7 linked regions of the Canis lupus familiaris genome follow. The protein of the gene in region 1 purifies or fractionates together with the protein of each later gene. This does not show direct contact. Links are inferred from orthologs where the notes say so. Each region holds a gene or a part of one and is shown in the gene's direction. Other genes may lie near its edges. The genes, in order: DHX15, SNRPA1, DDX5, SF3B1, SF3B4, GCFC2 and SF3B2.

Region 1 (3,500 bases):
AATGCCTCTGAATATTGACTTTATATGTTATGTCTAGATTCTCAAGTGAATTAATATAATATACTAATTTTATGTGTCTAATGAGTAACAGATTAATTTGTTAAATGACAAAGTTAGTAATCCAGTTATGTAGAAATCAATTTGTAGTTATTTTTTAATTAAGAGTCTTTATTATACCAAATGATATGTTAGCCATTTTCAGGTGGGATTAACAGCTATTTCTTCAATGTAAATTTCAGTTTTTGGCTTTTGATTTTAAAATATTGAAACATTTCTGTGAATCTAGGTGGTAACTGGAGAGATACAGTTATAAATCGTGCTAAAACATTGCAGTTGTCTGGGTGGATCCAAGAAGTGCAGTTCACTTTTGTCTTTATATAGCAACTAAAGACTACCCAAAAAATCAAGTATTGAGATAACTGTATTTCATTCACAGTGCTGTAGAATGATCATGGAAATATATAGCAGACACCTGGGTGCTGCAAAAGCCAAAAATGTCTTTTAAGTGATAATGATGAAAAATAATTTAAAATGTTTTATTTAGTTTTAAGTGTGTTGTCGTGGGGACGATACTAATTGAAGTATATATAGCTTGTCAGGTAAACAAAGTGTTTAAGAGATTTTAAATTATGTTTTAAACTCATTCTCTACTGGTAAAAATTGAAAACAAATCTATCCATTACTTGGGATTGGATTGATTTTAATTATCTCTTCTATCTCCTGTTTGTTTTTTCATTTTCTATTTTGGCTATGTCTTTAAGCAAGATGTAGCCTGCCTTAAGGCCAAATGAGCTGAATAAATAGAACGGACCCAAATGCTCAAAATCAAAATAAAAATTGATTGGTGCATAGTCTGTAGTTGAAATCGTAATAACAGTAAGAATTTTTATTATGGCATCTCATATAAGATCTCATTCATTAAAGTTAGGAAAATAATAGAGCTAGGTATGAAAATTCATTCTAGACACTTTATTCTTAATATATAATATATATTAGTATATAGTGGCTTTTTGACATATTCTTAAATTTGCTTGTAATTCCAAAAACATTGACAAAGCCATATTCAAACATGGATTTCTACTTTGAAGATTAAATTTGTTAGAAACAGGGCATGCACTATAGTACCTAGGACCTATTAATTAGGTACTTAGTATTTTTTAAAGGAAACTGAGTTCATTTTCTGTTATTAATACTTACTCATTTCTATCATTGACACACATTCTTCATATTACTATCTAGTTCTAGAATTAGAAAGGGCATATCAACTGTTTCAGTGTTTGCTAATTAAATATTAGGTAGACATATTTGATTACAGATAGAAGAAATGCAGGCAAGAAGCATGTGCACCTTTGTCCCCTCTATTCTTTTTATTTTTTCGTAGACTACCATTTGCTTTTCACTCCTTTTTGCTTTATTTTTTCTATCTTAATTGTGAATGTTTTAGTAATTGTTCATCTACTACACAGTTTGTCACCTAGCACTAAAGAACCTACTCTAGATGGTCTAAGGCAGGAAGGACTGGATAGTGCATATTTAAGGCTCTGTGGACCCATTCAGTCATTCTGAAACTACTTAGCTCTGCCTCCCCTTGCAGTGCAAAAGCGGCCATGGGCAAATGGGCTCCCTGGGTTCCAGAGAAACTTTATTTTTTAAAGATTTTTATTATTTATTCATGAGAGACACACAGAGAGAGGCAGAGACACAGGCAGAGGGAGAAGCAGGCTCCATGCAGGGAGCCCGATGTGGGACTTCATCCCAGGACTCCAGGATCACGCACTAAGCCGAAGGCAGACACTTAACCACTGAGCCACCCAGGTTTCCCTCCAGTGAAACTCTACTTAGGAACCCTGACATTTGAATTACGTGATTTTTACTCGTGACCAGATATTTTCCTTTTGCCAGCCCCACCCACCCACCCACCCTTCCCCATTCTGTAAAGATGTATAGAGCATGTTTGTCCGACAGGCCTTTAACAAATACAAGCAATGAGCTGGATTTGGCTTGCAGGAGTTTGCTTATCCCTGCTTTTATCAGGCAGTTGTAAATAAGTGTAGCCATTGAATAAAAAGCAAAAGATGAAGCTTCTCTGTTCCTAATTATAGTAGCTTTACAGCACTTTTGCTTTATAACTAGCACATCAAAAGCATTGTATTAATTTTACTGGGTTTTGGTTTCAGGTGGCACATTTAGAACGAACAGGGCATTACTTAACTGTGAAAGATAACCAGGTGGTTCAGTTGCATCCCTCTACTGTTCTTGACCACAAGCCTGAATGGGTGCTTTATAATGAGTTTGTTCTTACGACAAAGAATTACATCCGGACGTGTACAGATATCAAGCCAGAATGGTAAGCACCACCCTTTGTTTTAAAGGTTTTTGTTAACATTTTGCTCAGAATGGAATCTGATTTTGTTTCAGTAGTCATGTCCTGAAGTTAATGTTATCATCAGCTCAGGATATGTGCTCCAGGGTTTAGGCATGGGGCTTCGACCTGATGGTATGGTTGATCTCTTTAAATCTTTGCTAAGAGAATAGTGGGATTGTTGGTATGGGCATGGGCAGGATTTGAAGTCAAATATAAAATTGTAGTTGACTAGAATCAAAGACTATCTTTGGAGCTATTCTCTTGTTGTTGTGATCAACTCAAGTCTCCTGGTACTGCACTAGAAATGAATCTGTCCCATTTATCATTAGCTCTGAACTATTTATTTTTATATGTTGATGCTTTAGACAGAGTTAAGCAAACATAAAAGCTACACATCTTGTGTCTTAGCATATTTGATTTACAAATTGTTACTGGAACTGATTGTGTTATCTTAAGCAAAATTACCACTCCTCCCCTTTTGTGTGTCTTGTTTTTTGTTTTGGTTGGTTGGTTGGTGGTGGTTTTGCCAAAATCCATTCCGTAACTTAGGATTAGAGATGTCAGCCAAGAATGGTGGGCTGAAAGCACTTATTTTAGTTGTTGTCACTTGCTAGATAGTGTGAGGCTTTTTTCCTACACAGATTTATGACTTTTGACACTTGTGTAGGACATTACCATTTTATCTTAAATGCTTTTTGGAGAAAAAATTCTATGGCTAAACATTTAAAAAGATTCAGTCAAGTGAATTCTTTGGGGTATAGATCTATATTTATAGTTATTAAACTTGGAAAATGAGAAGATCCAATCATTTGAATACAAAGATATTTCTCACTTAGAACCTGTATTAATACAACCTTGGGGAGGTTGGTCAAAATAGGGTTATTAAAGAAATTAATAACCTTATTTTAATATCTTTACATTAGTGTAAAGAAAGGTTTTTTTTTTTTTTTTTTTTTTAAGTTACAGAAAGTCCAACATCAGAAAATTTACAGCTTACTAAAATAATGCATTTCTGAAAGCGGTGTTTATATGGATTAGGCATTTGCAATTGTAATGTTGATTTGGATTCATAGATTTGCCTTTGTTCATCAGTATATTAATGAGTAATTCTTATCCTATTAGCAACTCCAGTCTT
Region 2 (4,217 bases), about 46 Mb from region 1:
TTCATGAGAGACACACACACAGAGAGGCAGAGACACAGGCAGAGGGAGAAGCAGGCTCCATTCAGGGAGCCTGATGTGGGACCTGATCCTGGGTCTCCAGGATCTCGTCCTGGGCTGAAGGCGGCGCTAAACCGCTGAGCCACCAGGGCTGCCCTACTATTATTTGAAAGAGAATTTGCATGCACAGGGAGGAGCAGAGGGAGAGGGAGAGAGAATCCCAAGCAGGCTCCTGGCTGAGCCCAATGGTCGTGCTCCATTCCACTACCCGAGATCATGACCTGAGCAGAAATCCAGAGTCCCACGCTTAGCCAACTGGGCCACCCATGCACCCCAGTCCCCACAGTTATACTGGCAATACTAAAGGGGCTGAGGTTGGAAGTGATGGAAACCCTCTTGCACACAGCTAGAGTATGTATATTAGTATTATTTCAGCCTCTTGGCCTGTTAGGCATTACTTATTGATGATAGTATACCCTATGCCCAGAAGCTCTACTCCTGGAGAAACTTGGACACGTGTGCATTGGATCCACGTACAACAAAAATGCATAGCGGTATTCGGAACAGCCCCACGACAAAACGATCCTAATGTCCATCAACAGCAGAATGGCTAAATTGTGGTCTGAGATATACCATGGGATTCTGCACAGCAGCGAAAAGTAAACAAACCATTGCTGGATGCAACCTGGGACGGATTCCAGTTATAACACAAAACCAAAGACACCAGGCACGGGAGCACGCTGCGTGACTCTATTTGTATCAAAAGCAAGCAAAAACTAATCTGTGGTGTTGGGATTCCTGGTTGCCTTTGGGAAGGGATGGAGGCTTTCGGAAAAGTGTTCTTTTTTCTGGACCCGGAGGCAGCAACGCAGGTGCGCTCCCTCTGCGGGTATTCTTCACGTTGCAGATTCCTGGTTTGCGCACTCTTCTGTATCCCGTGCTTCTGTTAAATATTTAAATACCTGGAGGTCACAAGCCTAACCGAAAACTGAACTGTGCGCGGGGCAGGGTCGGGCGCGCTAGGTGGTAAGACGATCCCAGCGGGGCGGGCTGTGATCGACCCTGCCCTGGTGGGGCGGGAATCCTGAAGTCCTGAACCTTTCACTGGATCCCCCGGGTGCCCGTCCCTCCTGGGTGGGGCGAGGGCAGACACAGCGTTTCCTCCCGCCTCAAAATGCATTGATGCATGAGAAAGTTCTATTCGGGTGCGATTACATTTTGCTTAACTTGCGGACAAGAGCATCATCAGGAATCAGGGGCCCTCCTTCAAGCACGCCCCAAGGAAAAACCCAGAACCCGAGACACGTTCCGCGCGCTCCAGCAGCTCCGCAGACGACGAGATCGTGGGCGTTGCTCACGATCGATTACTTCGGCCTGGGTGCCGAGCGGCGCGCGCATGCGCCGGCTGCGATTGGTGAGGCCTGGCGGCGGGGCGCGGGGTACGCCGGGAAGTCTGGCGGGCGGGAGGCGGCGGGAAGCAGCCGGTGGGCCGCGGCACCGGCAGCGGCAGCGGGAGGCAGCAGGATGGTGAAGCTGACGGCGGAGCTGATCGAGCAGGCGGCTCAGTACACCAACGCCGTGCGGGACCGCGAGCTGGATCTCCGGGGTGAGTCTCGAGGAGTGGGTGGGCCTTCGCGCCCAGCCGCGTGCTCGGAGGGCCGGCGCTTGGCCCGCGGGCCTGCCTTGTGGGCGCCGAGCCGGACTGTGGCAGCACCGCCCGGGGCTGCGTCTTCCCGGTGCTGCCAGAGACCATCCCTAGGCCCTTCTGAGCCTTGGGTTACCCTCGTTCCTACTCACACGCCCAGCCAGTAGATCGCTTCCTGGTCCACAGCCGAGGGCCTCAGGCAGGCCTTGCTTGGCGTAGTTCTCAGTCTCAACTATTTGAGAGCTGGCAAGTTGTTCGTGCTGGTAACGCTAGTGCGCAGCGGCTGGTTGGTTCTTCGTAAATACGTTCAGGTGTTACTGTGGGAGCGTAAGTAAGAGAACGTGTTACCTGTAATTTGCGAGGGGGGAAATGACGTCGGAGAACAAAAGCGATTGCTTCCGCAAGATTTCTTCCCTCTTCCCTTCAGTTGTCCCATATTTCTCTTTTATCAAAGCATTTGAGGGGCACCTGGGTGGTTCGGTCGGTTAAGTGTCTTTGATCCCCAGGGGTCCTAGGATCCAGCCCCGCATTGGGCTCCCTGCTCCGAGGGGAGCCTGCTTCTCCCTCTTTCTCTGCCCGCTGCTCTCCCTGCTTGTGCCATCTCTCTCTCTCTCTCTCTCTCTCTCTCTGAAATCAATAAGTAAAATACTGAAAGAAAAAAAAAAGGTTTTAAAGAGGCTTGCAGTACAAGTTCCCTGTGTAAGGCGGTAGAAGCTCTGAACTATTCAAATTCACGTAGCCATTTCAACCTTAGTAAAGGCTTGGTGGGAAATTGGGAGTGCAGCTGTCTAATCAGCATATCAAGGAAATGACTCTAGGAATGATGTGAAGAGCAGTTTCTCTGGGAATACAATTTGGGCCTGAGATTTGGCTCCACAGAAGAACACCGTCTGAGGTGCAGCACTGTTGTGGGCTTTGCCTTAAGCTTGGATTCCTTGCTGACAAAGCCAGACTGCTTTCATTTTGTTGAAATTAAGTGTCGCTCTCTTGGCGAAGATTGATCTTTAACCATCTAAGCGTGAAGTGCATCGAGTGTTGAGGCTACTTGTTTTGATATAGCGTTTGCTTTGCTACAACCCTTGTTGCTCTGAATTATGTACTTTAACCTTGGCTTGGATTCGTTTCTTTCTTCCGCCAGCACCTAGCACAGTAGTTATGCCCATTTAAGACAAACTCGTGAGGGTTTGGTGAATTGTTCACAGGGTGATGTATTATTGTGTATAAACTGTTGACCTTCAACTCTGAATTGGAGCTGGGGGAAGTGTACAGTAAGGGAGAACTGTCATGAGATCACAAGGATATCCTGGTAAGTTTTATGTATCTGGCCTGTGGGAATGCAAACAGAGTCAAGAGCTGTTGTCCACAATGTATGAACAAGACTTGGACGCTGACAAAAAAGCAGCTTACAATGTAAATTCTCATTATGCCATTTACCTATTTCTGGAGCTTTGGTTATAACAGCGTGAGGGACCTTAAAAAATACTCCTGCAAATGTTAGCTACCAATATTACTATTAATAAGTGTCGGGTGTTGTCATGACTGACTTCATGTCCACTCCTAGACTGTGGCAGTGGGCCATCTGATCCTTGTTCCTCATTTTATGTGCCAGATACTTGCACAGTGTTTGGCACAGCACAGGTACCAGGTAAACACTTTCTAAATAAATGGAAGCTTTGAGTCAAATTACCATGAAGTACTGCTAAGGTTTTAAGGTATCGTTTAGCCATATCAATACTTGTGTATTTTTTTTTTTCCTTCTACTTTGCAGGGTATAAAATTCCTGTCATTGAAAATCTGGGTGCTACCTTAGACCAGTTTGATGCTATTGATTTTTCTGACAATGAAATCAGGAAACTGGATGGTTTTCCTTTGTTGAGAAGGCTGAAAACATTATTAGTGAACAACAATAGAATATGGTAAGTGTCTGCTAGTGGAGAGTAATTCTCCCCCCGCCCCCCAGAGTAAATATTGCAGCATTCCCTGAAGAAGCCATAGTACATATACTGCCAGTTGAGCCTACGTATTCTTATTTATTTATTTATTTATTTATTTATTAAGATTTTATTTACTTATTCAAGAGAGACTTGGAGAGAGAGGCAGAGACACAACACAGGCAGAGGGAGAAGCAGGCTCCATGCAGGGAGCCCCATGCAGGACTCCATCACGGGTCTCCAGGATCACACCCTGGGCTGTAGGCAGCGCTAAACTGCTGGGCCAGTGGGGCTGACCTATGTATGTCTTTTTTTTTTTTTTTTTTAATGTATTTCTTTTTAAAATGAGAAACAAGCTACACTTTTGCCATATAGGCCCATAGATTAACTTGGTAATGGTCTTGTTTTTATTTGCATTTGTTCAGAAATACTTATATATTCATGGTAATAGATATTTAAATTGCAAATATTCTGTTTTGTGCATATTTTGGCTTCTAAAACTAATTGTAATTATCAGAGGGATTATATTTAGAAGATATGTAAAGTTCAACAATTTTATATAGATAGATAGACTGATTTATTTTAGGGAATGAAAGCCCATGCCTGAGAGCAGGGAGTGGTGCAAAGAGAGAGAAATCCTCAAG
Region 3 (4,229 bases), on another chromosome or scaffold:
CTGGTGCCCCAAAAGGTGGTGATTAATTCAGGCTGTTAAAAAACTGAAGTAATGACCCCAACACTGCAACATTTGTTTTAGTTCTTTAAAAAAATTACATTTAATGGAGGCGCCTGGGTGGCTCGATCGGTTTAAGCCTTTGCCTTCAGCTCAGGTCATGATCCCCGCAGGATGGAGCCCCCAAGTCTGGCTCCCTGCTCACCGGGGAGTCTGCTTTTCCCCTTGCTCATGCTCTCACTCAAATAAATAAATAAAATCTTATAAAAAAAATAAAGTCAATGAATAAGAAGTAAAATACAGGCAATACACAAAGACATCCCTAAATTCAGAACTAGCACATTACCAACACTGTTGGAAGTTTCCTGTGTGCCACCGCACCCCACCCCCAGATACGGTCGGAATTAGCAAGATTATTTCACGACTTTCTCCAACAAAGGTAATTTCTAAAGCCTGACCTATTTGCTCCCTGATACAATTTAAGGTGGTTAAGAAGTCCTTCTACTTCGTATTTGACGAACTGAGCGCGTTCAAGGCACGTTATCTCCCTGTCCCCGTGCCCACTTCTCACAGCTGACCAAACCACGAGCTGGTTTGAACGCTGTCCTGAGGAAAGGATGAAAAGAAAAGCGTCCCGGACAACCCAACCCACTCGGTTTTCAAAAGCGGTTGCTAGACAATGCAGGTAACTCCAGAGGGCACTGAAGAGAAAAATCCGCCACTATCCTACTGTGGCAGGAGCATCAGCAGATCTTTAGAGTGCCGTTCCCCTCAAAACTTCAATGCACATGGAGGTAACGGCCTCAGTCCCCACAATCCAAGAGGCAGAGAGCGCGCTGACAGTGGCTGGATGCCCCAGAGAAACACGAGTCCCGGGAAGCAGCTTTCCGACTGCCCTTTTTGCAGCCAGGTTGCGGGCGTGCTGCGGGCCTCGCCACGGGGTTCTTCTCTCCACACCCCAAGATCTCGCTAGATGGCCTCTAGGAGGGGGACCCAGAGCGGGGCCAAGAAACCCACGGAACCGCCGACTGCGACTGGGTGTCTGTCACCAGCCCCGCCGGCAGCCCAGACCCAGGGAGTCCAGCCGGAGGATTCGAGATAAAAGGCCTAGGAGCGTCCGGCGGACTTAAAGGGTTTCAGTCCACACACACCCGGGCTCCGGGCCGAGACTCACCAGCCTCTGAGCCGGCCATGTCACGGAGGCAGGTCGCTGCCGGACTTCCAGCTGGGCGCGAGGCGGACGGCGTCCGGGAAGGGCCGCACAGCGCAGACGCAACGCCGAGGTGGGGGGAGAACGAAACGAAAGGGCAGGGGGTGAAAGAGGGAGGGACGTTAAAACGGCTTCTTGCTGCTGATTGGTCATCACGGGAGGACTTCCTTTCGCAGCACGCGCCCAGGCGGCGGTTTGTGGGCTCTAGGTACCATTCTCCGCGGGCAAGATCCCGCTGAGGGATTCTCAGGTGGGTGGATTTGACAGGCCGGGTCACCCAGCGGCCCTGGCCGGCCTCCCGGGGGCAATAGTACGGCACTTCCGGCGAGCTATTTCGTTTCGTATTCCTCCGCCGACGCCAAGTGGAGAAGTAGTGCGGTCCGCTTACCCGATGGGCGGGAGCAGTCACGTGACAATGTCAGGCTCCGCCTTCCCGTCTCACTTGGTTAGGGGCGTGAAGGCTCTTCGGAGACGTAAACATCTCCAAGTGGGCTGAGTGGGTTGGTCTGTGCTGGCCATTTTGTCGGCAGGGCTAGACCTGGGAAAGGGCGGGGTGGCTTCCTTGAGGTGTGGAAAGACGAGAAAAAGGTGAAGAACACAGAGTAGGCTAAGGCGTCTCAGTGCGGGTGGGCCCAGCCGTGAAAGGGGCCCCAAGCCGGCGACTCTGAGGGAAGCGGAGGGTGGGGGTGGGGCGAGAACATGGCGGATCCCGGAACGCCGGCGGGCGTTGCGGCCTCTGCGCAGGGGCGGGGTGATTAGGTCATAGAGCGGCTCCCAGCATTCTCCGCGGCGGAGGAGGCGGTCCAGGCTATAAAACCGGCTGCCGGGACGCGGCCGGCACCTCATTCATTTCCACCGGTCTCTTGTCGAGCAGCTCCGGCCCCTGTCATCGCCGCCCCGCTGCCGCTGCCGCCCCCGCAAGGCTTTGCCATCGCCAAAGCCACCTGCAGCGACTCGTCGCACCCGATTCTCTTTACTTCGTTCCCCGCCAACCGCAACCATTGACGCCATGTCGGGTTATTCGAGTGACCGAGACCGCGGCCGGGATCGAGGGTGAGTGTGGGAACGGACTTGTCAGGCCCGGCAGTGGGGGATGGGAGGCCGATGAAGGAGGCGGCGGGCGGGGGCGATGGACAGTCGGCTTTTTCCGGCTATATTTAACCTTTACGAATCGAAGGCTTGCGCCATTTTGATATTTGTCCGGAACTGACAGAGGGATGTTTCCCTGTTAACGGTCCTCAAGCTCGCCTTTTGTTGGTGGGGGGATGGGGGAGGCGCCGAAGCCCCCGCCCCCGCCGACTGAGCAGCTGTTGGGGACAATTCGGGGGAGTGTATTTCAATGGTTGGAAAGCGCGACGCTTTCAGGAGAACGAAGTCACCGCTGTTCGGTGCATCTTTTCGGGAAGTGTTGTAGGGGCCCCGGGAGTTCTGTGGTAATCGAAGGGGTCGCCTCACGAGCCATTGATGGCGCGGGAGCAGGAGGGCGGCCGGCACCGCGGGAATCGGCCATGTGGCTGAGCCGCGGGTACAAAATGCCGGCGCCGGACATGGCGGCGGCGCCTTTGTTACCCCGCCCGGCGGAGGAGCTCAAAATGGCAGCGTCGAGAAAATGTGGCGCAGAGAGAAATGCGAGACAAAGGGGGAAGCGCCGCCCCAGCGGGAACGCCGCCCGGTCCGGGACTCCTCCCCCGGTAGTTGCCAGCTCCTCCTCCTCTTTTTCTTTGCGTTATATAATTTTGCTATCTTGATGAGGAGCCCTCCGGGGGGATCCCCCCAATTCGATGGGCTTGCATAAATGTCTCTGAGACCACCGTCCTTGTTCTGTTCTCGTTGGTGCTGTCCCATTATTCCTTAGAACCAAAGCTGCTTGGCTTGGAAAGAGCTGATAATAACATTGCTGTTACGCACCTCCCTTGTATTGTCTCTCCCCCAGACATTTAATGCCTAAGCTCACGGGAAAGACTAGGAGCCACAAGCTGTTGTCTATCCTTGTAATCTGAACATGGGGCGTTTGGGCAGCCAATTTCCGACCTGATAAATCCCGGGCTGTTGATTTGGCTTCAATAGTGTGTATTTGGGACAACGGAAAGTGAGAGAGATGGTGCTAATTGTGGCTTTTGAGAGCATGACCCATCACTAAGGACAGTGCTAAGTCTTAAACCTCGAAAAGTCTTTCATTTATCTGTACTGTGTGTCAAGGGACAATAAATAGTCTGTATGTAAACGTCTTAGTAGGTAGTTGAAAATATAACTTTTTTGTTTTAATTTCAGGTTTGGTGCACCTCGATTTGGGGGAAGTAGGGCAGGGCCCCTATCTGGAAAGAAGTTTGGAAACCCTGGGGAGAAATTAGTCAAAAAGAAGTGGAATCTTGATGAGCTGCCCAAATTTGAGAAGAATTTTTATCAAGAACACCCTGATTTGGCTAGGCGCACAGCAGTGAGTAATTTCACAGGGCTTCCTTGGGCTGTAACTCAACAGTGACTTTTAGTAAACAGAAATTTGAACAGAGGCCTTGGAAAACTCATATTTTCTGATAGTCGAGGAAGAGGAGGTGCTTTGGCAAGTGGTATCTTTGAATTTTTCTGTTTAGAGTGGTTAAATATAACTACAATAGATGGATCTTGTGCTCTGTAGGTTTTCTATATGTGGATATAGATTTTAAATGGCCCGTTACAGTTTGCTAATCCTTGATAAACTTAAGGCCTGCTGACTGCATATTGGTGAAGGTTGTTATGGTACTTAGTAGGTTATTAAAATTTGTTTTATAGCAAGAGGTGGAGACATACAGAAGGAGTAAGGAAATTACGGTTAGAGGTCACAACTGCCCAAAGCCAGTTCTGAATTTTTATGAAGCAAACTTCCCTGGTAAGTGCTAGTTCAGAGCACTCACTCCCCCCCCTTTATTAATTTCACCCTTTTTCTTAGCTTCACTAAATTTACTGAATTACTGTTGCTAATTACAGCAAATGTAATGGATGTGATTGCAAGACAGAATTTTACTGAACCCACTGCAATTCAAGC
Region 4 (4,291 bases), on another chromosome or scaffold:
AATTCAACAACTAGAGTTTACCAATAATTCATAAAATTACATGTTCTTGGGACGCCTGCATGGCTCAGGGGTTGAGTGTCTGCCTTCAGCTCAGGTCGTGACCCCTGTGGTCCCTGGGATCCAGTCCCATGTCAGACTCCCTGCAGGGGGCCTACTTCTCCCTCTGCCTGTGTCTATCTCTCATGAATAAAATCTTTTTTTAAAAAAACAATCTACATGTTCTCTTAACCCTTTCCTCCCTCAACTATTGTTTAACCTAAATTAAAACAATTGAAAATTGAAAATTTTCTCTCATCAAATTGATTTTTTTCATTGATACTAAGTCCCATTTTTGTTACTAAAGTTTCTACTAAATACTCATGTTGTGATCCTGTTACACAGCCAGGCAAACGTTTTTGGTGATAGCTCTAACCTTAATCCTTACCTGTTTCCTTAGGCTGCTTCCTGTACCAACTTCCCCTCAAAGTTATGTTCTTTTTTAATCCTAAAGTCCAAGGCCAGTGTGGCAGTTCAAAATTATGCTTTTGTAATTGAGGAGTAGGCAAAAAAAAAAAAAGAAAAGCCATATTTGGAGCTTTTAAAAATTCCTGATTCAAGAGTGACATTTAGGATTAAGAGAGGCATTCCAGGGATCCCTCGGTGGCGCAGCGGTTTGGCGCCTGCCTTTGGCCCAGGGCGCGATCCTGGAGACCCGGGATCGAATCCCACGTCGGGCTCCCTGCATGGAGCCTGCTTCTCCCTCTGCCTGTGTCTCTGCCTCTCTCTCTTTCTCACTGTGTGTCTATCATAAATAAATAAATAAAAATTAAAAAAAAAAGAAAGGCATTCCATCAGTGTTAATGCTGACAGCCAGTGGTTTTCTAAGAACCTATGAAATTAAAAGGCTTTAAAAAAGGACGGCACAGTTCCTCCCGGGTAATTCAGTAAGGGTGTGACCTTGCATATTTTATTTACACCCCCGCCCTAGTTTTCCTCTCCTTTCTTAAATGGGATTAGCAACAACTCGCCCACTTTCCTGGGTTGTTTGTGAGGTACAACAGTGTCTGGAAATAATAATGTTGTGCACGAAACTCCTACCCAAATGGCAAGTAATTCTTTAAGAAGAAAGAAAAATGACCTTGAATTTCAGCGCGAAGGACGTGACTGGTGTGTGTCTCCACAACTACCCACTGCAGCCGCTGAGAGACGCCACAGGAGCTCTCGCCTGGCACCGACACACCTCCGCTCGACGTGGAGGACGAGAACTGACGGCCTGAGGCTTCGGACGGGCCTGAAATCCAGCGTCTCTCGCAGTGACTATCAGCGGGTCCTCGCACAACCCACTTCCCTCCAGAGCAGTCGCCGTCGCCCCCGCCCCCGCCCCCGCGTCAGGACTCGCTTAGCCCTCCTCCTCCCGCCACCGCGAAAACCGCCTCCGCGCCGGGCCCTGGCTCCTCCCCCTCCCCCACAATGCATCGCTCTGTTCCCTCTAGGCGGCTGCTCCGTCACGTGTCGCGCGGCGGCGCGCGCCCCCGCTTGGCGCACGCGCAGAGAGCATTCCCCAGCTATTTTTCTCCGTGGCAGCGGCGGCGAGCGGAAGTGCTGGGGAGCGCCAGTTCCGTCTGTGTGTTCGAGTGGACAAAATGGCGAAGATCGCCAAGACCCACGAAGGTAAGGCGTCTTCCCGTGCTCCCGCGTCTTCTCTGCTGCCAGCCTGCCAAGACTCGATTTTACTCGGTTTTTGCCTCGGCCTGTGGTTTCGTTGGTGGGGTGCCGCGCCCGCGCGTGGGGGCCCTGGTCGGCTCCTCGGCGCTAGCGGCGCAGGCCACTGCCCCACGTAATGGCGTCCTACTCCTCCACCGCGGGCAGGCGCTTTGTTCCGCGTTTGGGTCCTGTTCCTTCAGAGTTGCTTCTCTTTTCCGAGCGGAAGGCCTCGTTCAGACGGCTCGCCGGGGGGGAGGCCAGGGCCGCGAATCGGGGAAACGGGCGTGAAAGCCGGGAGTCGCCCTCGCCTCACGGAACTGTGGCGGGCGCAGTTCGTGCCCGGGGGAGTCGGGGGAGCCCGGGAACACGGCAGCCGCTTTTCGGCAGCGCCAACTCGAGCGTAGCCTGCTTGAGGCCCGTTCCTCTTCGTCTCGGCTAATCAGGCATCTAAAATACTTTTTTTTTTTTTTTTGTATGAAGTGATTTGGACATAAAATCTGGTAGTTTTTTCTTCCCGTGATCACTTGTATATTGGTGTTTGTTCCCCACCCCCCCCCCTTGGAGACTGATGATTGGTGGAAGAGGGAAAGGCACGTTATTATTCCCAGCGGTCAAAGCTTTCGAGGTACCTGATCGTTTTGTGGAATTCGGAGAACACGGAATTTAGGAAAATGCTGAGAATAAGCCGGAGTTCTTGAGGGAGTATCCAGTTTCCAGAAATGACAGGAAATAGGGTCACTTCAGAGAAGATGAGGCATGGGCATTGGGAGGCGCGTTCCTTAGGATTTTTTTTTTTTTTTTCTGACCTGGAATCTGAAGCGTTCGTCGAACGGGAGGCTTCCAGGAGTCATTTGTATTTTCACGGGTCGTTTCCAGGTGCTGGCTCCGTGTGAGTCCGAAGTAACAAAGAGTAAGGCCGTGCAAAGTTTTACAGGCTCCTGGGGAGACAGGTGTGTGTGTGTGTATACGTTTTCATTCTTTCATGAGGCAAATTAACGCTTAAATAGAAATACAGGCCGCATGTTCTGGGATTCTGGGTAACGGAGTGATTAATTCCTGCCTAGGTAGGACTCTTCCATAGAGGAGGTGACGTGTCCCTGGCCTAAACGGATCAATCCGTTTTAAATTAGGGGAGGACATTTGAGCCTGAGAGGACATCTTGTAACGAGGCAAGGAGTCCTGAAAAGTGTGTTTGAGTAGTGGACTGTGGCGCTGCAGGGAGGGAAAGTGTAGGCGAATCTGGAAAGGTTGGTTGGGACCAGGATGTGAATGCCCTGGAATAATTGTGTTCCCCGCCAGAACTGAAGTCCAGCTCTCTGCGACATGCTAATTAATGGGCAGTGACTTTAATACTCTTCTCGTTGTGGGGGTAGGTATTTAGGATTTATTTATTTATTTTATTATTATTTTTTATATTTTTTTATTTATTCATGAGATATTTTTTATTTTATATGAGATATATATTTTATTTTATTTATTTATTCATGAGAGACACAGAGAAAGAGAGGCAGAGACACAGGCAGAGGGAGAGGCAGGCTCCCCCACAGGGAGCCTGATGCGGGACTCGATCCCGGAACCCCAGGATCACGCCCAGGGCCAAAGGCAGGCACCAAGCCGCCGAGCCACCCGGGCTGCCCGGTATTTAGGATTTAAACACTGTTTTAGCCCTGAAGGTTGTTTAGGCACTTACTCTTCTGTCTTTAGACTAATCCGGATGTAACCTTTTGCAAAATAATTAGAAACTGAAGATGTTGCTCTTGTTTATTCAGGAGTAGGCTGTTCATTGGGGGCAGTTTGTGGCTTTGATCACTTGTTTGTTGATATTTTTAATCATAAAGATACTTTTGGACAGGGAAATCAAGGTTTGGATCAGGTTTCCTGCTTTTTTGAGACTCAATTAAAAGCTTTGGTCTATAGAAGATTGAAGTTGATTGGCCAAGTTTGCTTTTTTATTTGGAATCTTGCTACAGTATGAATTAACTGATGCTATAAAGAAAGTATAGCAGTATTCAGTTAACAACAGCACTGTGTATAAGACAGTCTGTCACTGTGAGTTTTTGGTAAAGGATGATCAATGTTTAGTGGAAATATGCATAATATTTACATAGAGATACTTTCCTAAAGATCTGGAATGGTTCATGGTGCATCTCTTCTCTTTTCCCTTAATAAGTCATCTCTGATAGCCTGGAGCAGATTTCTTGGTGGGTTTATTTATTTATTTATTTATTTATTTACTTACCTAGGTGCTACTGTAGCTCTTTATTATACTAGAATATTCTATTGTGTTAAGGTTTTTTAAAAAATATTTATTCATGAGAGAGAGAGAGAGAGGCAGAGACACAGGCAGAGGGAGAAGCAGGCTCCATGCAGGGAGCCTGACGTGGGACTCCATCCCGGGTCTCCAGGATCACGCACTGGGTGGAAGGCGGCGCCAAACTGCTGAGCCACCCGGGCTGCCCAAGGTTTTCTTATCCACGTTGAGACTGATGTGTACAGGAACTATTTCTTGGTATCCCCAGTACCTAATGCCTAATGAGTACTGAGTATTAACATTTATTGAGAGATTATATTGGAAATATTAAAAGTTTCACAGAAAGGGGCCGCTTAA
Region 5 (4,217 bases), on another chromosome or scaffold:
ACATCTCAGAAATAGGGAGCTAGAGCTATAATAATATTCCTCTCTGCCTCTCTTCACCCCCTTCTCAGAAAGGCCTCTCAGCTCCCACAATCTCTGGCCTCCAGGATGAGCTATCCCATCTTCAGGAGCTTTTAAGGAAATGGACACCAAGAGTATCTCCTGAGGATCACTCCAAGAAAAGAGATCCAAATACCATTCTTTCCCAGTCCCGTTGAAATTGTTGTCTTTTTTATGGGCATGGCAGAGGGGGTCCGGGGTGAGGGAAGGTTCTGTCTAATCCTCCAATTTTTCTTATCTTGGTCTTGCTGTCTCAGCTTTTGACACTCCAGCCCTCAACAAGCTCACTGACCTTTCTGTTGCAGATGGGTGGTGCTAACCTTCTCCAACTCTTGCCCTGTCCTGTTTCATTCTCGAGATATGTTTCTCATGATTTGAGGAATTAAGAAACAAAAGCAATCCAGAATACGATTACCTTTGTTCTTTTCAGGGCAATTCCATCCCTCTGGATACCCAGCCGATAAGCTGTGAGATGAGAGATGCTGTTCATCAGTTCAAAGGAGATGGCCTACAGAACTCATTCTCACCTCCTCTTGCTGCTTAATTCCAATTTCTGTTTCTTCCCTCTGGTTTTCTATGGGTATGCTAGTGGGTATGGGACACATCCTGTCTCTCCCAATTGTATATTTTGTAGTGACATTTCTATTTAACGAGTTCATTAAAGTACAGTTGCTGGCATTATCTCTGGTGTCTGAATAAAAGATCCTAAGTAAAAAAGCGATGATAAACCGGGAGAAGAAGGGACCCACCATATTATTGTTCAGGAAATATGGAGATAGGTCAGGCTGTCCACACTAATCGTTTCGTAAGATGGGGCAAAGAGCATGCAAAGACATGGTTGGTGGGCCCGGGGTATTCTGGCGGTTGAAACTGAGGCCCCTGGGCTGCAATGTCAGGTACCCTCAGCTCTGGGCACACATCATCTCTGAGCCTCAGGTTTCCATCTCCCCCATGCAACAGGATCATGTGAGCTCCGACGCCACTCCAGCTCAGACACTCCGCAATCCTCTCCCCAGAAGCCGCGGGCCACGGTGGAGGGCTGCCTCCGCACCCTAAGGCAGCCGAATCCTTGGGTTGGAGGGTTTCCTCAGCACACCCTTCTCCGGGGAACAAAAGGATAGTTTGCCAACAAAATATTTCTAAATAAAGTTTTGTTCTTTTAGCTTTTGAGTTTACATTTTTAGGAGTACTGTGATCCTTTAACGTCCAGCACTGCCTTAAGAGGGTCTGGGCATTTCCGTTCGGCCCTCATCGCTTTGACCGCTAGCAGCGGCAAATCCGCGCAGAACCACGGACCGGAGAACGCGGCCCCACAAGCCGCATCAAGTCTCCGCAACTCCTAAGATGGCCGGGGCCTCTTCCGGCTCCTCCCCCATCAGGCCCCGCCCACCGCCCTCGTGACTACCTTCGCCCCGGAAGTGGAAGTACTGACTGAGGTCAGAGGGCGGGATCGCTGCCTGGAGACGGCGGGAGCTCTTTCGCCATGGCGGCCGGCCCGATCTCCGAGCGGAACCAGGGTAGTTGGAGGGGATGAGGCCAGGGAGGCTGGGAGGCCTCGAGGAAGGCCAGCCGTGTTTTCGCCGGGGCAGGAGATCGGATCCCCCCGGAGGGCGCGAACCCGGCCCCCGTGCCGGCTGGGGGTGGGGTGGCCGGGTGCAGGCTGAGGCCTGTGGTTGTGATGCTCTGTCCAATCTCCTGCGCCTTCCCATTCAAAAAAACAAAACAAAACAAAAACCCAAACGAAAACCAAAAACAAAGCAATTCACAGAGAATTTGCAGCAGAACCTTCAGTTAGACTTAAGAAGGTTCTTTAGTTCTGGAATGAGAGAGATGTAAGGGCTTACTCTCACGTCTTTTTCCTTTTTTGTTCCTATATCCCATCTCCACTCCCAGTTCCCCCGCCTGTCACTTCCTTCTTTCCCGTCGTTGTCTCATCCCTGCCATAATCTGCTCATTTCTCTTAGATGCCACTGTCTACGTCGGGGGACTGGATGAGAAGGTTAGCGAACCCCTGCTGTGGGAGCTTTTTCTCCAGGCAGGGCCAGTAGTCAACACCCACATGCCAAAGGATAGAGTCACAGGTCAGCACCAAGGTGAGTACATCACAAGAGGCGTGTTTATGCATTGAGGGGACAAGCTGCTCCTGGAGGGTTCCGGCAGTATTCATAGGCAGTATTCATAGCCGTTTTGGAATCACCTGTAGATTCTTCCTTTTAAGTGTCATTCAATGTTTGCTTCTGGAACCATTCCCAGTTGAAGTGAGGTGGTTATTTCATGTTCTTTGTGCTTTGGAAGGTGCATGAGTTACACACGAAATTGAATCACTTCACTTAAGTTAATCTCTGCTTTTCTACTTCCCAGGCTATGGCTTTGTGGAATTCCTGAGTGAGGAAGATGCTGACTATGCCATTAAGATCATGAACATGATCAAACTATATGGGAAGCCAATACGAGTGAACAAGGCATCGGCTCACAACAAGAACCTGGACGTGGGGGCCAACATTTTCATTGGCAATCTGGACCCAGAAATTGATGAGAAGCTGCTTTATGATACTTTCAGCGCCTTCGGGGTCATCTTACAAACCCCTAAGATTATGCGGGACCCTGATACAGGCAACTCCAAAGGTTATGCCTTTATTAATTTTGCTTCATTTGACGCTTCGGATGCAGCTATTGAGGCCATGAATGGGCAGTATCTCTGTAATCGCCCCATTACTGTGTCCTATGCCTTCAAGAAGGACTCGAAAGGGGAGCGCCACGGCTCAGCAGCTGAACGACTTCTAGCAGCCCAGAACCCACTCTCCCAGGCTGACCGCCCTCATCAGCTGTTTGCAGATGCACCCCCTCCGCCTTCAGCCCCCAATCCTGTCGTATCATCATTGGGGTCTGGGCTCCCGCCACCAGGTAAAGCTTTTATTCAAAGTATTTTTGTCTTGGGCTTGGGGTGTGGTGGTGAGCGGGGGCAAGGGGAGGAGAAAAGAACTTGATAAAGGGGGACATGGAGTCAGTAGGTGATGAGAAAGAGAGTGAGGGGTGACAGTTGTGGGGAGAAAGTTGTTGAGTTGAAGAGGCTGAAGTTGTTCCTAGTTATCTAGTATTGCTTCTGATTTTAGAGAGCTGGGAGGAAGGGAAGAGAACTTATCCTGCCTGAGGAGGCCAGATTGAACGGGCTTTCTAAAGACATTCTCTCCTTACTATCGTTAACTTGTCTTTCATTTCCTCTATAGGCATGCCTCCTCCTGGGTCCTTCCCACCCCCGGTGCCGCCTCCTGGAGCCCTTCCACCCGGGATACCCCCAGCCATGCCCCCGCCACCTATGCCTCCCGGTGCTGGAGGACACGGTCCACCATCAGCAGGAACCCCAGGGGCTGGACATCCTGGACATGGACACTCGCATCCTCACCCATTCCCACCAAGTGGGATGCCCCATCCAGGTGAGTGTTCTTTGCTGGGGAAAAGGATAGATAAGCTTGTTGGAGGAGCTCCACTGCCACATGCAGTGCTGCCCTCATCCCTCAGCAGTAATAGTAGATAGTCCCGGAGCTCTGCTTTTTTTTCAGACATTCTTTTATAAAAACAAACACGAGACACTGTTCTCTGTTTACTTTAACAGCTACCACCCTGTCTCCATTTATTATACAAGTTTTTCCAAAGAGTGTAACTGTACTCGTTTGCTTTTTCCTTTAACTTTTACTTCATTTTTCTCCTCCGACTTCTACCCCAAAGCAGTGACCTAATTGCCAAATAGAGGGGGCACTTCCATTCTTTACCTGGTTTGCCATTTGGTGTACTTGAAACTGGGTGTGTTGTCCTTTTTGAAAAGCTTGCCTCTTGGTGTTTCTGGATTTTTCATCTGTCTCAGACTCCTTAAAGTTAGCCACATTAGGGATCCCTGGGTGGCGCAGCGGTTTGGCGCCTGTCTTTGGCCCAGGGCGCGATCCTGGAGACCCGGGATCGAATCCCACATCGGGCTCCCGGTGCATGGAGCCTGCTTCTCCCTCTGCCTGTGTCTCTGCCTCTCTCTCTCTGTGTGACTATCGTAAATTAAAAAAAAAAAAAAAAAAAAAGTTAGCCACATTAGTAGGCTTTTCTCCCTCTCCATGTAGCTGGGTTTTTGTATCTGGTTCTCTTTTCTTTTTTTTTTTTTAATTTTTATTTAT
Region 6 (4,173 bases), on another chromosome or scaffold:
ATCCTGACAACAAAACTTTAGATGCTGCGGGAGTTTTTACACGTGGGTGTATATACTATTGCACATTCAGAATGGATAGAGAATCATGTCTCTTTGTAAGAAGCAGAGAGAGAAGACGACATGGGCCCTGTGTGGATGCATGAACACCTGTGCACCAGGGCAGACTAATGAACTTATTAAGTAAAAACAAGAAAAACTTAGGACAAATTTTCACACTGATAGCTGTTAAAAAAAAAAAAAAGACATTATGAATTTATGGCCCTTACCGGAGAAGACAGGCATGGAGAGAGAACCAAAGGGAGGGTTCTGGGGCAGCTACATATAGAGGGAGGGGAGCCTGGGGAAATTTCCCTCTTAAAACAATCCTTCCTACAAACCTCTTGGAAAGCCTTCCTGAACTTTAAAGCACGAACTAAAACTTTTGTGGAGCATGGGGCCAAACCCGGCGAGAGAATGCGAAGGAACTCCACGGTTATCTGCTTCAGATGGATGTGGTCAGAGGCGTCCAACTAAGTATGGGCTTTACCCCCAGTCCCCCATCAAGGCTTCCTCTCTCTCAACAGTGTGACTGGATCCAGTCCAAGCTTCCCGCGGGGTCTGCCATCCTTCTTACTGCCGCACATCTTTCTGAACAACACCCCCTTTTCTCTGATGCATCCCCCCCGCCCCCATGAGCCAAAGCATTTAACCAGGCTCTGTTGAAACCTTGCCCCCTGAGAGCAATCTTTTGGTTTTTGCGTACTTCTCTATCATTTATGTGCAGATTTTCCTGTTTAGCTTTCAGAAGCAATCTCCCCAAACACACACACACACAGCATTCTGGTTTGTTTCTTTTAATTCTTTTTTTTTTTTTAATTTTTTTTTTTAATTTTTATTTATTTATGATAGTCACACAGAGAGAGGAGAGAGGCTGAGACACAGGCAGAGGGAGAAGCAGGCTCCATGCACCGGGAGCCCGACGTGGGATTCGATCCCGGGTCTCCAGGATCGCGCCCTGGGCCAAAGGCAGGCGCCAAACCGCTGCGCTACCCAGGGATCCCTGTTTCTTTTAATTCTTGGTTGGAGAGAACTTTACTCTCTTCAATAAAGCGGAAGGCAGCGAACGGGGTTCCAGTCTAGGAGGCAGGTGCAGCGCCTGAATCTTAGAGTTTGCCCAAGGAGAACCGGTGAGCGATGCTCTCCGCGGCGCCCAGCTCCGGGAGGCTGCCGGACTCGGCGGAGCAACACAACCAGGCCTGAGAAAGGCCTTGCACCTCCAGGCCGCCGCCCCGCAAACCAGTCCACAGACCCGAGCGAAAGGGACAGAGCGCGCATGCGCAGGGCGCAGGGGGCGCGCGCACGGCGGCGGGACGGCGCAGGCGGGAGCGCGCGCCGCCGTGGACGCCGCACGCGGGGGCGGAGGCGCGCGTCGGGCTCGGGCCTCGGCCATGGCTCACAGGCCGAAGAGGACTTTCCGGCAGCGCCGAACCCACTCTAGTGACAGCGACAGCACCGAGGAGCCGTCTGCTGAACCCGGGGCGCCGGGGGAGCAGGCGGCGCCGGGCCTTGGGGAGGAAGGGCCACCCCCGGGAGGTGGCCGTGTGGAAGCGGCGGACCGGCATGTTCGGGGCCGCGGCCCTCGGAGCCGGGGCCGGGGCCGGGTGTGGGCGAGTTCCCGGCGCGCCGCGGGGGCGGCTCCGCGCGCGGAAGGCGGCTCGGGCATCCCAGGTGAGGCAGGGGAGCGGGGCGGAGGGGCGCCGGAAGTGACGGGGGTGGGGGTGGGGGCGGGGACGAGGCCCGCGGGGTTCTGGGGAAGGTCCTGGAGCGGTCCTGGTACGGCTTCCGGTACCCACTCGCCCGCTGCCCGCATGTCCGCGTTGGGCGGCGTGGGGGTGGGGCGGGGGGCTGGAAGGAACCCTGCGTGGTTTGTGGCTCCTCTGCGTTTGCACCATCGGGTGAACTCCCACCGGTTGCAGTTGTAAGTGCAGTATTTGCTGTTTGTGAAGAACCTAAATCGTCACAGAAGTCAAAAAAAAAATTTTTTTTTTCCTAGTACTTTGAGGTAGGGGAAAGTGTTACGTACTTTTGGAAACATCCTCAATTATTTTTCCAGAAAACACTTTGACCAGAATAGTACATTAGAAGAATATAGGTAGCAGACACTTGGAACGTTTTCTTGTGCTTGTTTTGTTTTTCATCAGTTATCTGCAAGAAGGGAAATAAGAATAACGCTCCAGGGGCACCTGGGTGGCTCGGCGGTTGAGCGTCTGCCTTCGGCTCAGGGCCTGATCCCGGGGTCCTGGGATCGAGTCCCCCACGTCGGGCTCCCTGCGTGGAGCCTGCGCCTCTCTCTGCCTGTGTCTCTGCCTCTGTGTGTCTCTCTTGAATAAATAAATAACATCTTTAAAAAAAATAACATGCTACGTCACTAAGTAGCATAATGGATTGATGACGCTGTAGACTGTATATGGCGTTAAGTACAATGTAGTTTGAAGTACCCTTTCGTTTTTAAATACAGAATTTAAGCAACGTAAAGTTGTTGACAGTTGTTCCGTTTTGAATTGGAGCTTAATAAAAATGCAGTTTTCTGTTAGTATTGAGGTAGAATTTTTCTCCACCACTATTTTTAGTACAAGTGATTTTGGTGATTTCTTTCATTACGACCTTCTGTTTGTCTAAAGCTTTGAAGACTTTTTGTATTTTTCTACTCTATGGAAGTCACCTGGTCAAACTTTAATTGGGAGAATTGAGGCCAGGAGTTGCCTTTTTGCTTGCATTTAAAACAGTGGTTCTCAAAACTTTTTGGTCTTAATATCTCCTTTATGAGACTATCCCAAAGAGCTTTTGTTTCTGTAGATTGTATCTATTGATATTTACCATGGTAGAGATTAAGATAATTTTTTATTCACTTTTTCTAAATTAAACCATTACCTGTACGGATAGGTAACATTTTTGAGGGGGGACACTCTTCCAGAAAATAGAATGACATTGTTTCAATTTACAAGTCTTTAATGTCTGGCTTCAACGAATAATACAGCCGACTTCTCAAAGGTGCTTCTGTAGTCAATCTGTTGTGATGTTTCATTTGAAATATGAAAAGAAAACCACAGGTTTGTGGTGTAATAGGAATACTTAATAGCCTTTTTAGATGACTGAGGGTGTTCTGTTTTGATATTAAAAAAAATCAACAAAAAATAGTTTCTTGAAGGTCATTTTGCAACATGGCAGCTGAAATCATACTTGTCAGTTTTTTTATACTCCATTACGTGAAAATCCATTGGTCTGTTTTGCATTTTCAATGAATCTTTTACCCATGCACAATTGGTAAAATCTTGCATTGACTGTTGGAAACTCTTGGTTCACTGGGTTTGCAAATGCTGGTACATTTTATATAATATCCAAAAGAATCTGTTAATGTTACTGTGTTACTTCTCATAATCATCAGTCGTTAAGTGATGGAAAGATATTAAGTTCACTGTGTAGCATATAAGTTTTCCAAAATTCGAGTTTTCACTTGAAATCTCTAATTCTTGAAGTGATAGGCACATCTTTGCCATTTTTGAGAAAATGTGTCAGGTAGACATGTAGAAATAACTAGAGTTTGTCAGTCATTCTTTCAAATAAAACTGTTGCTTCTTGAAGACAGTGGCTAGTTCAACGTACAACTCATACAGATGCTTTTCAGTGAGGCAACCATTATGTTTCAGTATGCCCCCCAGAGTGCTTAATACACACTTCCGTTTTGTTCCATAGACTATTTAAAAGATGTGTCCTCAAAGGTCAAGATTGAATAAATTTAATAACTTTTTGTTGCTCTATTAAGGATGGTAAGTTTACCTGTTTGTTTTCCTGGCAATGCATGGCAGTGAAGAATACAATGGCCGCCACTACAGATTGCTGTCACTGTCTTGATTCATATTAAGAAGGCAGGAGTTGGGATCCCTGGGTGGCGCAGCGGTTTGGCGCCTGCCTTTGGCCCAGGGCGCGATCCTGGAGACCGGGGATCGATCCCACGTTGGGCTTCCGGTGCATGGAGCCTGCTTCTCCCTCTGCCTGTGTCTCTGCCTCTCTCTCTCTCTCTCTCTCTCTCTCTCTCTCTCTGTGACTATCATAAATAAATTAAAAAAAAAAAAAAAAAAAAAAGAAGGCAGGAGTTTTACCCACCACTGTTTTTGCTTCATTGTATAAATAGCA
Region 7 (3,500 bases), on another chromosome or scaffold:
ACCCAGTTCTCTCCAGAGGCAGCTAATGAGGTCAGTCTCTTGATCAGATGGCTTTAAAAATATATTTATCAACGTACAGAGCTGAAAATGGTTTTCTATGATCCATCTGTTTTGCTAGATACAAATTATATAATTTTGAGAGGTTTGAGCAGGAAGGATTTTGGTGACTTCTGGAATGAGATATATGAAGTTTCCCTTCATTTCTTTTGGGAGCGGAGAGCCAGATCTATAAAGAGCTGAACTGGGTAAATACTTTTTATGACCTGTCTTTTGGCATTCTCCACAGGAAGAACAGAAGACCATGAAGTCCAAAATGCGAGAGAAGGTTCGGCCCAAGATGGGGAAGATTGACATTGATTACCAGAAACTGCACGATGCTTTCTTCAAGTGGCAGACCAAGCCCAAGCTGACCATCCACGGGGACCTGTACTATGAGGTTCGGGGACAGGGCCTTTGGTCATGGCTGTGTAGCTCTTGGTGGAAAAGGCTTTCTTAGCTGATATAGAGGCTCCTCTTAGCCTTAGAATTTTCATTAACTCCTCCTGGGTGGAATGGATTTGAAATCTTAAAAGGAGGTAGTCTTTTTGGAGGAGAGATTGAGTCCATGTTTTGAAAGTGATAACTGAATAAGGGGCAGAGGTGCCAGGTGGTAGATGCTTTTAGGAAAAATTAGTATTGAGGGTGGGAGAAAGGTTTCCTTTTTTTCCCATCTGGATCATTGAAATAGCAGTCACCACGATAAGGAATTTTCAAGGTGGAAGGATCTTGGAGATCATCCCATCAAGTGCCTTCATTTTACAGACAAGAAAGTAGGCCCTAAATCTGGCCATGTTTTCTAAGTGGGTTCATGTCAGCACTGGGAGTCTCGCTTTTCTCCTCCTTCCTGGCCTTTATTTCTTTTCCTACTCTAGCCATGGAAAGGAGTGATGAGAAACAGCAGCTCTCAGTAGGATTTTGTATCTGGTGTGGATTGGGACTTCTCATCTTTGTTTTTCTATCCTCTTGCTGTTGAATTCCCAGTGTGTGTCTGGCATTCATAATGCAGCGTCCTCTGCTTTTTTCTCAGGGGAAGGAGTTTGAAACACGACTGAAGGAGAAGAAGCCAGGAGATCTGTCTGATGAGCTACGGATTTCCTTGGGGATGCCAGTAGGACCAGTGAGTGCCAGTTACCTGACTGGGGATGCCAAGAAAAGGGTGGGAATTGGGGCAGAAGGGAGACAAAGGACAGGGCTGGGCAGATGGTATCCTGTTCTCTTTTTCTTGCAGAATGCTCACAAGGTCCCTCCGCCATGGCTGATTGCAATGCAGCGATATGGACCACCCCCATCGTACCCCAATTTGAAGATTCCTGGGCTGAACTCCCCCATCCCTGAGGTGCGCGCTGGCCTTCCTTTCATTCTTATTTAACTAGAGGATGATTTTTTTTGTTGTTGTTCTCTCATCCCACCGTATCTCCATCTCTCTCTCTCTCTCTCTCTCTGTTTTTTTTTAAAAAAAGTAGCAGTTTTTGTTTTTTATAAAACCTGACATGCTCACCATAAAACAGTCCATAAGAATTGACAAGTCCAAACAGGAAGACAAATCACTTATAATTTCACTCAGAAATAACCAGATTTAAAATTGGGTGAATGTGTTACCAGATATCTCTTGGGTATATACATGGCTGGACAGATAGAATTTTATCTCAAGAGTGGCATTACACTTTAATTTTAACATATGAAGTGTGAAATTAAAAAAAAAATTTTAGTAGATAGCAAAGTCATTAAGGTGAAAAAGAAGTAATTGTTAAATTTCAAGTAAAAATTTATCCCTTTTAAAAAATAGATTTTAAGTTGCCTGGATAGCTCAACAGTTGAGCATCTGCCTTCAGCTCAGGGTGTGATCTCGGGATCTGGGATTGAGTCCCACTTTGGGCTCCCTGTGGGGAGACTGCTTCTCCCTCTGCCTGTGTCTCTGCTGCTCTCGCTCTCTCTCTTTCTGTGTCTATCATGAATGAATGAATGAATGAATGAATGAATGAATAAATAAATAAATAAATAAATAAATAAATAAATAAATCTTTTTAAAAAAAAAAGGATTTTAAAAGCTTCCCCAAGTTAGGAAAAGTCAGTAATAAGTTAGAGTCGTATTTTAAAGTACCTGATTGGGCAGCCCCAGTGGCTCAGCAGTTTAGCGCCGCCTTCAGCCCAGGGTGTGATACTGGAGACCCAGGATCAAGTCCCACATCAGGCTTCCTGCATGGAGCCTGCTTCTCCCTATGCCTGTGTCTCTGCCTCTCTCTCTCTCTCTCTCATGAATAAATAATATCTTAATAAAGTACCTGAATTACTTTCAGACAGTGTGGATTCTACCATGAAGGCTGAGGTTAGTTTTACCCTCTGCCTCTCATCTCCCCATCCTGCTGTCTCTGGGGTTTTTTTTTTTTGCTTACTACTTCTGCTTTGTAATGCCTTATAACATTTAACTCTTCTCTGAAATCATAATTTCCAGTTACCAAGTGCTAGTTCTGTGCTTTGTAGTGTGACTTTTCTCCAGGGCTTCAGTGTTTATTCTGGAGCTTAGTAGAGGAACTGATTTGCATTTCATCTCTTGCAGAGCTGTTCCTTTGGGTACCATGCTGGTGGCTGGGGCAAACCCCCAGTGGATGAGACTGGGAAACCACTCTATGGGGACGTGTTTGGAACCAATGCTGCTGAATTTCAGGTATAAGCTAAGGCTGTCTGTCTTCAGGTCAGGAAGTGGAGAGGTAGTTGGTTTATAGATTCATTAGCAGGGAGCCAGGTGTTTTGAAGTTCCAAAGTTGGAAAGAAGGCATGCATGTTCCTGAGATGTAAAGCAAGTTCCCCTCTAGAATAGGAGTTCTTGGTAGGCAGAGATTATTGTATTTACTTTTATATACTTTCAGTTTGCAACAACTTGACACATAATAGGTACATAGTACATGTTGGCTGAATGAATGAATGATCTCTTTCAGACCAAGACTGAGGAAGAGGAGATTGATAGGACCCCCTGGGGGGAGCTGGAGCCATCAGATGAAGAGTCTTCAGAAGAAGAGGAAGAGGAGGAAAGTGATGAGGACAAACCAGATGAGACAGGCTTTATTACCCCTGCAGACAGGTGGGGAGAGCAGAGTCGGCCTTGTAAGTGGTTTATCATTGGGGGCCTTCTCTTTACTCCAGAGATTGTTTCTCTCTTCACAGTGGTCTTATTACTCCTGGAGGTTTCTCATCAGTGCCAGCTGGAATGGAGACCCCTGAACTCATTGAGTTGAGGAAGAAGAAGATTGAGGAAGCAATGGACGGGTGAGGGAACCAGGCAGGGCTGAGAGGGAAGGTCTTCCTTGTCCCTTCAGCTTCTGGGTTAGCCGGCTGACTTGTCCTACACTCCCCCATACACCCCCCACTCCCCCGCTTCTTTCCCCACCTTGTGAACCAATTATCGAACACCAGCTCTGTGCCAGGCACTGCTTTAGGCAGTGAAAAACACAAGGTAAGCAGTT

Evidence for each region.
Region 2: the proteins of DHX15 (region 1) and SNRPA1 fractionate together in Homo sapiens (co-fractionation; 3 studies listed by BioGRID and IntAct, with this or other methods). This does not show direct contact. The link is inferred for Canis lupus familiaris from reciprocal best matches to the Homo sapiens genes DHX15 and SNRPA1.
Region 3: the proteins of DHX15 (region 1) and DDX5 fractionate together in Homo sapiens (co-fractionation; 3 studies listed by BioGRID). This does not show direct contact. The link is inferred for Canis lupus familiaris from reciprocal best matches to the Homo sapiens genes DHX15 and DDX5.
Region 4: the proteins of DHX15 (region 1) and SF3B1 purify together in Homo sapiens (co-immunoprecipitation; 6 studies listed by BioGRID and IntAct, with this or other methods). This does not show direct contact. The link is inferred for Canis lupus familiaris from reciprocal best matches to the Homo sapiens genes DHX15 and SF3B1.
Region 5: the proteins of DHX15 (region 1) and SF3B4 purify together in Homo sapiens (co-immunoprecipitation; 4 studies listed by BioGRID and IntAct, with this or other methods). This does not show direct contact. The link is inferred for Canis lupus familiaris from reciprocal best matches to the Homo sapiens genes DHX15 and SF3B4.
Region 6: the proteins of DHX15 (region 1) and GCFC2 purify together in Homo sapiens (co-immunoprecipitation; 3 studies listed by BioGRID and IntAct, with this or other methods). This does not show direct contact. The link is inferred for Canis lupus familiaris from reciprocal best matches to the Homo sapiens genes DHX15 and GCFC2.
Region 7: the proteins of DHX15 (region 1) and SF3B2 purify together in Homo sapiens (co-immunoprecipitation; 3 studies listed by BioGRID and IntAct, with this or other methods). This does not show direct contact. The link is inferred for Canis lupus familiaris from reciprocal best matches to the Homo sapiens genes DHX15 and SF3B2.

What each region holds. Positions count from the first base shown.
Region 1 is NC_049224.1:86,203,999-86,207,498, forward strand, and holds part of DHX15 (pre-mRNA-splicing factor ATP-dependent RNA helicase DHX15), read left to right. Parts: intron 1-2,177; coding exon 2,178-2,347; intron 2,348-3,500.
Region 2 is NC_049224.1:40,139,757-40,143,973, forward strand, and holds the start of SNRPA1 (U2 small nuclear ribonucleoprotein A'), read left to right. Parts: upstream 1-1,417; 5' UTR 1,418-1,521; coding exon 1,522-1,603; exon of another isoform or gene 1,604-2,120; intron 2,121-3,410; coding exon 3,411-3,558; intron 3,559-4,217. UniProt on the Homo sapiens protein: Involved in pre-mRNA splicing as component of the spliceosome. Associated with sn-RNP U2, where it contributes to the binding of stem loop IV of U2 snRNA.
Region 3 is NC_049230.1:14,616,019-14,620,247, forward strand, and holds the start of DDX5 (probable ATP-dependent RNA helicase DDX5), read left to right. Parts: upstream 1-1,429; 5' UTR 1,430-1,457; exon of another isoform or gene 1,458-1,901; intron 1,902-2,081; 5' UTR 2,082-2,216; coding exon 2,217-2,260; intron 2,261-3,478; coding exon 3,479-3,644; intron 3,645-3,976; coding exon 3,977-4,073; intron 4,074-4,171; coding exon 4,172-4,229. Other genes in the region: CEP95 (centrosomal protein of 95 kDa), read right to left, coding at 1,172-1,190. UniProt on the Homo sapiens protein: Involved in the alternative regulation of pre-mRNA splicing; its RNA helicase activity is necessary for increasing tau exon 10 inclusion and occurs in a RBM4-dependent manner. Binds to the tau pre-mRNA in the stem-loop region downstream of exon 10.
Region 4 is NC_049258.1:6,839,143-6,843,433, reverse strand, and holds the start of SF3B1 (splicing factor 3B subunit 1), read left to right. Parts: upstream 1-1,491; 5' UTR 1,492-1,622; coding exon 1,623-1,650; intron 1,651-4,291. UniProt on the Homo sapiens protein: Component of the 17S U2 SnRNP complex of the spliceosome, a large ribonucleoprotein complex that removes introns from transcribed pre-mRNAs.
Region 5 is NC_049238.1:59,867,874-59,872,090, reverse strand, and holds the start of SF3B4 (splicing factor 3B subunit 4), read left to right. Parts: upstream 1-1,417; 5' UTR 1,418-1,540; coding exon 1,541-1,574; intron 1,575-2,021; coding exon 2,022-2,150; intron 2,151-2,418; coding exon 2,419-2,961; intron 2,962-3,284; coding exon 3,285-3,491; intron 3,492-4,217. Other genes in the region: MTMR11 (myotubularin-related protein 11), read left to right, coding at 69-215. UniProt on the Homo sapiens protein: Component of the 17S U2 SnRNP complex of the spliceosome, a large ribonucleoprotein complex that removes introns from transcribed pre-mRNAs.
Region 6 is NC_049238.1:48,133,561-48,137,733, forward strand, and holds the start of GCFC2 (intron Large complex component GCFC2), read left to right. Parts: upstream 1-1,373; 5' UTR 1,374-1,427; coding exon 1,428-1,707; intron 1,708-1,798; exon of another isoform or gene 1,799-1,957; intron 1,958-2,022; exon of another isoform or gene 2,023-2,041; intron 2,042-4,173.
Region 7 is NC_049239.1:51,705,001-51,708,500, reverse strand, and holds part of SF3B2 (splicing factor 3B subunit 2), read left to right. Parts: intron 1-286; coding exon 287-436; intron 437-1,066; coding exon 1,067-1,156; intron 1,157-1,267; coding exon 1,268-1,375; intron 1,376-2,596; coding exon 2,597-2,704; intron 2,705-2,975; coding exon 2,976-3,118; intron 3,119-3,201; coding exon 3,202-3,303; intron 3,304-3,500. UniProt on the Homo sapiens protein: Component of the 17S U2 SnRNP complex of the spliceosome, a large ribonucleoprotein complex that removes introns from transcribed pre-mRNAs.